Linked DNA regions of Macaca fascicularis. The protein of the gene in region 2 purifies or fractionates together with the protein of the main gene of each other region. This does not show direct contact. Links are inferred from orthologs where the notes say so. Each region holds a gene or a part of one and is shown on either strand. Other genes may lie near its edges.

Region 1 (4,131 bases), on a different chromosome or scaffold from region 2:
GGCAAATGGCTGGGCGCGGTGGCTCGGGCCTGTAATCCCAGCACTCTGGGAGGCCGAAGCGGGCAGATCACCTAAGGTCAGAAGTTCAAGACCAGCCTGGCCAACAGGGTGAAACCCCATCTCTACTAAAAATACAAAACATTAGCCGGGCGTAGTGGCGGGCACCTGTAGTCCCAGCTACTTGGGAGGTTGAGGCAGGAGAATGGTGTGAACCCAGGAGGCGGAGCTTGCAGTGAGCTGAGATCGCACCACTGCACTCCAGCCTGGGAGAAAGAGTGAGACTCCATCTCAAAAAAATAAAACAAAAAAAAACTGGGCGTGATGGTGGGCGCCTGTAATCCCAGCTGCTGGGAGGCTAAGGCATGAGATTCACTTGAACTCAGGAGGCAGAGGTTGCAGAGAGCCGAGATCACACCGCTGCACTCCAGCCAGGCCAACAAAAGTGGGATTCTGTCTTTTAAAAAAAAAAAAAAGGAAAACAGGTAATAACAATAACCGCAAACTTACCCTTTACTACGTGCCAGGCCCCACCCTGAGCACTCACGTAACTCATTGAAACCTCACAACCCTATTGGGCAGGTACTATTCTTTTTATTTTATAGACAAGGAAGCTGAAGTGCATAAAGATTAATTTGAGTAATGTCATCCAGCTTGCAAGTGTCAAAGATGGCATCTGAACCCAGACAGCCTGGCTCCAACATCTGGACTCTTATAGCCTCCAATCTCTAAAAGGAGGGGGAAGGAACTTACATGACATCCTACTGGGAATTTGCTAAAAACCAGATCTCTCTGCCCTACAGGCAAAAGGTAAAAACAGGGAAACACGAGAATGGGGCTCAGAGGCACCCCTGGTCCCCTCGCCATCACCGGCAGAGACAGAGAGCCTCCCTGGCCATCCAGGAAGAATCTAGAAGTTATTGCCCAAAACCATTTTACTGGGAGAGCAAATACCAGGAGGCTACCTTCTAGAGGTTGCTGGGCCTCAGACCTCAAGAAGTGGAGACCTCAGGCCCACGATCTATTTGGAAAAGACTAGAAAATGGCTCCAGGGCCGGGCCACCCTCTGCTCTTCAGACACCACCCTGAGTTGCAAGTCCTGTGGCCACCTTTCTAGGTTGAGGTCTGGCCCGTGGAGTCACAGGGAAGGTCCGCAGGCCTCACAGCCTGGTCTTCAGAGACGGCACCATGGGGCAATTCTGTATACTTGCGGGAAGAGCTGCGGGCCAGATGGGCTGGGTAGCGTCGCCGGTTGATGTCCATTTTGGAGAGCACTGCTAGCGGCAGATCCACACGGCAGCGGGCTGCTAATGCCACCAGGTAGATGAGGACGTCACTAAGCTCCTCTTGAAGGGCTAACCGTTCCCTGGGGGACCAGCCTTGGGGGCCAGGTTCCCCATCGGTTTTCCACTGACTAGGGGCAGAACACAGACAGACACACACTCAGATGTAACCTGGGACAATGGGCTCTGCCAGTCTTTGCAGTAATAACACCCACCTCCAATGATGACCCAACCCATCTGGGCCCTGGGAAGAGTCAGGTGGGGAAGAGAGCCCAACAGATGATACCAAGATGTCTGTGTCTCTCCCTGGGCCAACGAGTGGCCAAAAGAACATTTCATTTGTTGAGACAAAGCTTTGAGGCCCAATTCTAATTCTCCCCAGCCCTAGCCATCACCACCCCAGACCAAACCTTGGACCTGGACCACTGCAGAAGCCTCCCCACTCATCTCCCTGCTAACTCATCTTTTACTCCTGCCCAGACCATCTTTTCTTTTTTTTGAGACAGAGTCTCACTCTGTCACCCAGGCTGGAGTGGAGTGCAATGGCGCGATCTCACTGCAACCTCCACCTCCTGGGTTCAAGCGATTCTCCTGCCTCAGCCTTCCGAGTGGCTGGGATTACAGGCATGTGCTGCCATGCCCAGCTAATTTTGTTTTTCTTTTCTTTTTTTTTTTTTTTTTTGAGACAGAGTCTCGCTGTGTCGCCCAGGCTGGAGTGCAGTGGCCGGATCTCAGCTCACTGCAAGCTCTGCCTCCCGGGTTTTTACGCCATTCTCCTGCCTCAGCCTCCCGAGTAGCTGGGACTACAGGCGCCCGCCACCTCACCCGGCTAGTTTTTTGTATTTTTTAGTAGAGACGGGGTTTCACCGTGTTAGCCAGGATGGTCTCGAACTCCTGACCTCGTGATCCGCCCGTCTCGGCCTCCCAAAGTGCTGGGATTACAGGCTTGAGCCACCGCGCCCGGCCTAATTTTGTTTTTCTAGGAGAGACAGGGTTTTGCCATATTGGCCAGGCTGGTCTCGAACTCCTGACCTCAGGTGATCTGCCTTCCTCGGCCTCTCAAAGTGTTGGGATTACAGACATGAGCCACCGCACCCAGCACAGACCATCTTTTAAAATCACAAATCAGGCCGGGCGCAGTGGCTGACGCCTGTAATCCCAGCACTTTGGGAAGCTGAAGCGGGTGGATTACGAGGTCAGGAGTTCAAGACCAGCCTGGCGAAGACAGTGAAACCCCGTCTCTATTAAATAAACAAAAAAATTAGTTGGGCGTGGTGGTGGGCACCTATAATCCCAGGTACTCAGGAGGCTGAGGCAGATAAATTCTTGAACCGGCAAGCAGAGGTTTCAGTGAGCTGAGATCGCACCACTGCATTCCAGCCTGGGCGACAGATCAAGACTCCATCTCAAAAAAACAAAAACAAAAACAAAACAAAACAAAAATCTGCTGGGTGGTGTGGCTTATGCCTGTAATCCCAGCACTTTGGGAGGCTGAGGTGGGTAGATCACCTGAGGTCAGGAATTCGAGAATCGCCTGGCCAACATGGTGAAACCCCATCTCTACTGAAAATACAAAGTAGCCAGGCGTGGTGGCACATGCCTGTAATCTCAGCTACTGGGGAGCCTGAGGCAGGAGAATTGCTTGAACCTGGGAGGCGGAGGTTGCAGTGACCTGATATCATGCCCTCACGCCATCACACTCCAGACTGGGCCACAAGAGCAGAACTCCATCTGAAAACAAACAAACAAAAAACCCCACAAATTACATTTTTCCCCTTCTCTGCTAAAATCCAAACTGTGCTTAGAATATAATCTAAACTCCCGACAAAGCCCTCCTGTGCTGCATGGGCTGATGCCTGCCTTTTCCAATGCCCCTGCCCACCACTCTCACTCCCCACCTAAGGCCACTCTGGCTTGTTCTGGCTTGCACACAGGCCAAGCTGTCACAGGGCCTTTGCACTCACTACTTCCTCTGCCTTGAACGCTTCCCCATCCCCCAGCATTCCCCGGGCTAGCTTCTTCCTGTTATTTAGGGCTCAGCCTAGATGTCACCTCCTGGCTCGTCACCTTGTGGTTTTTTTTAAGACAGTCTCGCTCTGTCACCCAGGCTGGAGTGCAGTGGTGCGATCTCGGCTCACTGTGCCAGTTCCGCCTCCTGGGTTCACGCCAGTCTCCTGCCTCAGCCTTCTGAGTAGCTGGGACTACAGGGGCCCGCCACCACGCCTGGCTAATTCTTTTGTATTTTTAGTAGAGATGGGGTTTCACCGTGTTAGCCAGGATGGTCTTGATCTCCTGACCTCATGATCCACCTGCCTCGACCTCCTGAAATGCTGGGATTACAGGCATGAGCCACAGTGCCCGGCGGTTTTTTTTTTTTTTTTTTTTTGAGACAGAGTCTTGTTGTCGCCCAAGCTGGAGTGCAATGGTGTGATCTCGGCTCACTGCCATCTCTGCCTCAGCCTCCCAAGTAGCTGGGATTATAGGCGCCTGCAACCACACCTGGCTAATTTTTGCATTTTTAGTAGAGACAGGGTTTTGGCATGTTGGCCAGGCTGGTCTTTTTTGTTTTGTTTTTTGAGATGGAGTTTTGCTCTGTCGCCCTGGCTGGAATGCAGTGGTACAATCTTGACTTACTGCAACCTCTGCCTCCGGGGTTCAAACGATTCTCCTGCCTCAGCCTCCAGAGGAGCTGGGACTACAGGGGCATGCCACCATGCCCAGCTAATGGTTGTATTTTTTAGTAAAGACAGGGTTTCACCATGTTGGCCAGGCTGGTCTTAAACTCCTGACCTCAAGTGATCTGCCCGCCTTGGCCTCCCAAAATGCTGGGATTATAGGCGTGAGTCACCGC
Region 2 (3,887 bases):
AATCTATAGCTTGTCTTTTTATTCTTATAACAGTGTCTTTTGAAGAGCAAAAGTTCTTTACAATTTTTTGAAATCTAATTTTATCTGTTCTTTTCTTGTATGAATTGTGTTTTTAATGTCATATCTATAAAATCTTTATGTAGCCCAGAGTCACAAAGATTTTCACCATTTTTTTCTTCTAGAAGTTTTATAGTTTTAGCTTTTTAGATGTAGGCTTACAATCCATTTTGAGGTAATTTTTGTATACAAGTTGAGATTCTTTCCTCTTTTGCACAAAGATGTCCAATTGTTCCAGCACCATTTGTTTAAAAAGACTGGCCTTTGTATCCTGATTCAAAAATCTGCTTTCTAGCATAAATACGCCTCTGTTTCTGGACTCTCCATTGTGTTTCATTGCTCTATGCGTCTATCCTTTCACATTCCCTTGATTACTGTACATTATAAGTCTTTAAATCAGGTAATCTGAGTCTTCAAACTTTGTTCTTATTTTTAAAAATAGTTTTGACTATTCTAATTCATCCACCTTTCCTTGTGATTTTAGAACCATCTCAATAATTTCTCCAAAAAGTCCTGGAACTTTTCTTAGGATTATGCTGAGTCTCTGTTAAATTTGCTTTTAACTTTAAATACTTCAGCTGTGTCAAATTATGTGTAGCAAATGCAATTTGAATACTGCAAGTTTCAGATAATGAAACACACAATGGATTTTAAATACACACTGATCACACAAAGACATTAAACTACCTACCACTGATTCTACAAATCCCAGGAATGTAGGAAATGTTCACTGGCTAGAGCTACTAACAACTTACAAAGGTGAAGGGCTTATGCAGTCTCTTTAGCATAAAGGAAATAATATCAGTCATACTCAAGGAAGATAATATTACAACTTTGTTGCAAGTTCTTCACAAAATGAATAATGAGTCTGGTAAAAGCTCCATATTTATATGTACACCATCATTTAGAGATTAAAATCGCCTATCTGTCCCATATCTAAAAGAAGGATCTTCTGGAATGCCAGAAGAGCCTCATTTTATACAGTCATGCTACCACAGATTAAACATCAGCACAATTATCTGAGAGCTTTCAGCCATGTTTTCGGAATGTCCACTTTCTCCATTTTACTAGATACTGCAAAACATATAAAAGTGTTTCACCTGGGTGAAGATCTGTACCTGGTTGGTTAGTCAGTCCTGGGAGAGATTCCTGCAACTGGTAAGTAGAGGTTGAAGAGGGTGTGCCATCGGCTGTGTTATTTGATGTCATATACGCTCCATACGTTGATGCTGAATAATACTGTGCATACTGGTTTTGGCCAAAGGCTGTATAGGATGGATAATCCTGAAACAATAATTGAGATGTGTGTGTTTGAAAGAGAAATTACTCTTTAATACTCTCCAAAGAAAACCAGTCATTACAGTAACTGAAAGATTAGTACTCAGCCCCGTTTGTTTCTGAGTCCACAGCTTTGAGGTGCTCCTAATGAGCAGAGACTACTTGGTGGGCATCTCTTACAAGCATATAGTAGTGAAATACCCTATTGTTTTGGCAAACCAGGTCCAGTATACAAATTTTAATGTGATTAAAGTTAGCATATGCTTCACTTTGCTCCTGATAATTACTTATTCAAGGATTTACATCATCAGGACCTACGTGTTTGAAGAGGAAAGAAGGAGATGGAATCAGTTCATATTCACAAAATCAGTTCTTACATATCTTCTAACACTACCAGCAAGGAGTTGGGGCTGCCCCTCCTAGACTCCACAAAGACCTCAGTCTGCATTTTTGTGATTTTTGTTCCTTTCTGGGCTACCACTGACAATTCTGTTTTCTTGGAAGGAGGTAAAAAGTAAATAAAAGGAGATGAATACGACTTTTTTTTTTTTTTTTTTTTTTTTACCCAGCCTCTCACAAACTATATGACACCTGAGGCCTTGACTTAAAGTCTTTAGTGAACTTTTCAATTATTTAGTTTCCCTCCTTTGTTACAGAGATAAACGAAAGCACTGAATCAACACCCTTGACCTGCTTTTTATTAAAAAATTTTAAGAACCTTAAAATGATGATAATGACCCTTCAAAATCCTTTTACATAGTAGGATGATGAGTAAGGAATTGTTGTGATAACTGGTGTTTAATATATCTAGCATGTGTCAGCCCAAAATGTTATCAGTGATGACAAATCCTTGGTCATCACCGATAACATTAAGATCCCCCGATGAAATGTGTTCCAAAGGAAACAAAGATCTACATTTGATATGGTTTCCAAAAACTAAAAGAAATAATCTATATTATAAGTAAATATGTATACTATCATAAAGGATTAGGTAATATGGCAGAAAACTAAAATTCTATTAGTCTGAAAATTTCAAGATCCAATGTTTCCCACTACCACTTGTGAGCCAAGAACAAAAACCTCATCATATCTAAACAAAGTTCCTAGCAGTATCTCTCAAAGTAAAACAGTGATAGCAGAGGTTTACATAGTGCTTGCTCTGTATCAAGACACTGTTCTAAGGGCTCAAATATATTTACTCATTTAATCCTCATAATCTCTTATGTGGTCTTAATACTATATTCATTTTACATTGAAGGGGACTAAGGCACAGAGTGGTTAAGTGATTTGTACAAGGTCACACAGCTAGTAAGTTTCAGAGCTAGATTTGAACCCAGAGTGCCTAAGTCAAACATCTGTGCTGAAGCGCTCTGTTAGCCTACTAATTCCTGCAGAAGAAGATGAGGTTACATACTGGAAAGGTCCAGGCTATTCCCCACTGGGGAATATAATGTCTTTTCATATTCAAACGTATCTCAAAGATCTCCCTTTCTTTTCATTTCCACTGTCGTCCCCCTTGTCCAAGCTCCCTTTTCTTCCTGTTGCAGGCAATGTATTCATTTTTAAATTTATCTCCTCTTTCCATTTTTGACTTTCTCCAAAGACCTTGGTGGTAGAGTTATCTTCTCAAAACATAAATTAAATGATGTAATTTTCTTGCTCAAAATCTCATCATAGCCTCCCACTGGGCTTGGAATAGAATCCAAATTCCTTATTGTAAACCACCAGGCCTTACGTGAGTAGGCCCCCACCTATCTCTGCAAATGTGTTTCCGCACTTGCCCCTCATGCACTAACTAAACTCCAGCCTTTTTTTTTTTTTTTTTTTTTTTTAGTTCAGTGACACACCAAGTCTTCCATCCGTCGGGGATTTGGTACACGCTGCTTTCTTTGCCTGAAACACCACTGCCCTCCTTCACCTAACTCTTAGAAGTCTTGGCCTAAATGTGGTTTCCATAGAGAAGCCTTATATAAAACCTCCCCTATTCAAAATTATACTTCAGTTGATATTTTAACAGACCCTGTTCTCTTCCTAAATCTGTATTTGTGTGTTTACTGGTTTATTGTCTGTTTGTCCCAGTAGGCTGTAAGCTCCATGAGGCAGGAATCATACCTGATCCACTCTGGCCCCACCTTCGTGTACCCCAGTATACAGACCAATTCCTAACACTTAATGGGCACTCAATAGGTATTAGCCAAAACAACAAACTGGTGCTCAGGCCATGGTCCCAAATACAGATTACATTTTATATTGTGATCCATTGTATTTAAATCTTCACAGATTTTCGGATCTGTTTTATGATTAACTGTTTTTAAATAAACGTTTTTTTTCCTTTAAAAATCTTTTCTTAATCCTCCCAAATAGAGGCAGAGTAGTTTTTCTCTTATAGTACAACTCTACCTAGTGTATATTTCTGTTATATGTGTGTGTGTGTGTATATATATGTATATATATACATACACATTTTTTTTTTTTTTTTTTTTTTTTTGAGACGGAGTCTCGCTCTGTCGCCCAGGCTGAAGTGCAGTGGCCGGATCTCAGCTCACTGCAAG

Evidence for each region. Proteins that work in one complex are often made in the same cells at the same time.
Region 1: the proteins of EYA4 (region 2) and DCTPP1 purify together in Homo sapiens (affinity purification with mass spectrometry; 3 studies listed by BioGRID and IntAct, with this or other methods). This does not show direct contact. The link is inferred for Macaca fascicularis from reciprocal best matches to the Homo sapiens genes EYA4 and DCTPP1.

Annotation. Positions count from the first base shown.
Region 1 is NC_088394.1:28,564,907-28,569,037, forward strand, and holds the end of DCTPP1 (dCTP pyrophosphatase 1), read right to left. Parts: intron 1,412-4,131; coding exon 1,111-1,411; 3' UTR 572-1,110; downstream 1-571. UniProt on the Homo sapiens protein: Hydrolyzes deoxynucleoside triphosphates (dNTPs) to the corresponding nucleoside monophosphates. Has a strong preference for dCTP and its analogs including 5-iodo-dCTP and 5-methyl-dCTP for which it may even have a higher efficiency.
Region 2 is NC_088378.1:37,438,951-37,442,837, reverse strand, and holds part of EYA4 (protein phosphatase EYA4), read right to left. Parts: intron 1,342-3,887; coding exon 1,158-1,341; intron 1-1,157. UniProt on the Homo sapiens protein: Tyrosine phosphatase that specifically dephosphorylates 'Tyr-142' of histone H2AX (H2AXY142ph). 'Tyr-142' phosphorylation of histone H2AX plays a central role in DNA repair and acts as a mark that distinguishes between apoptotic and repair responses to genotoxic stress.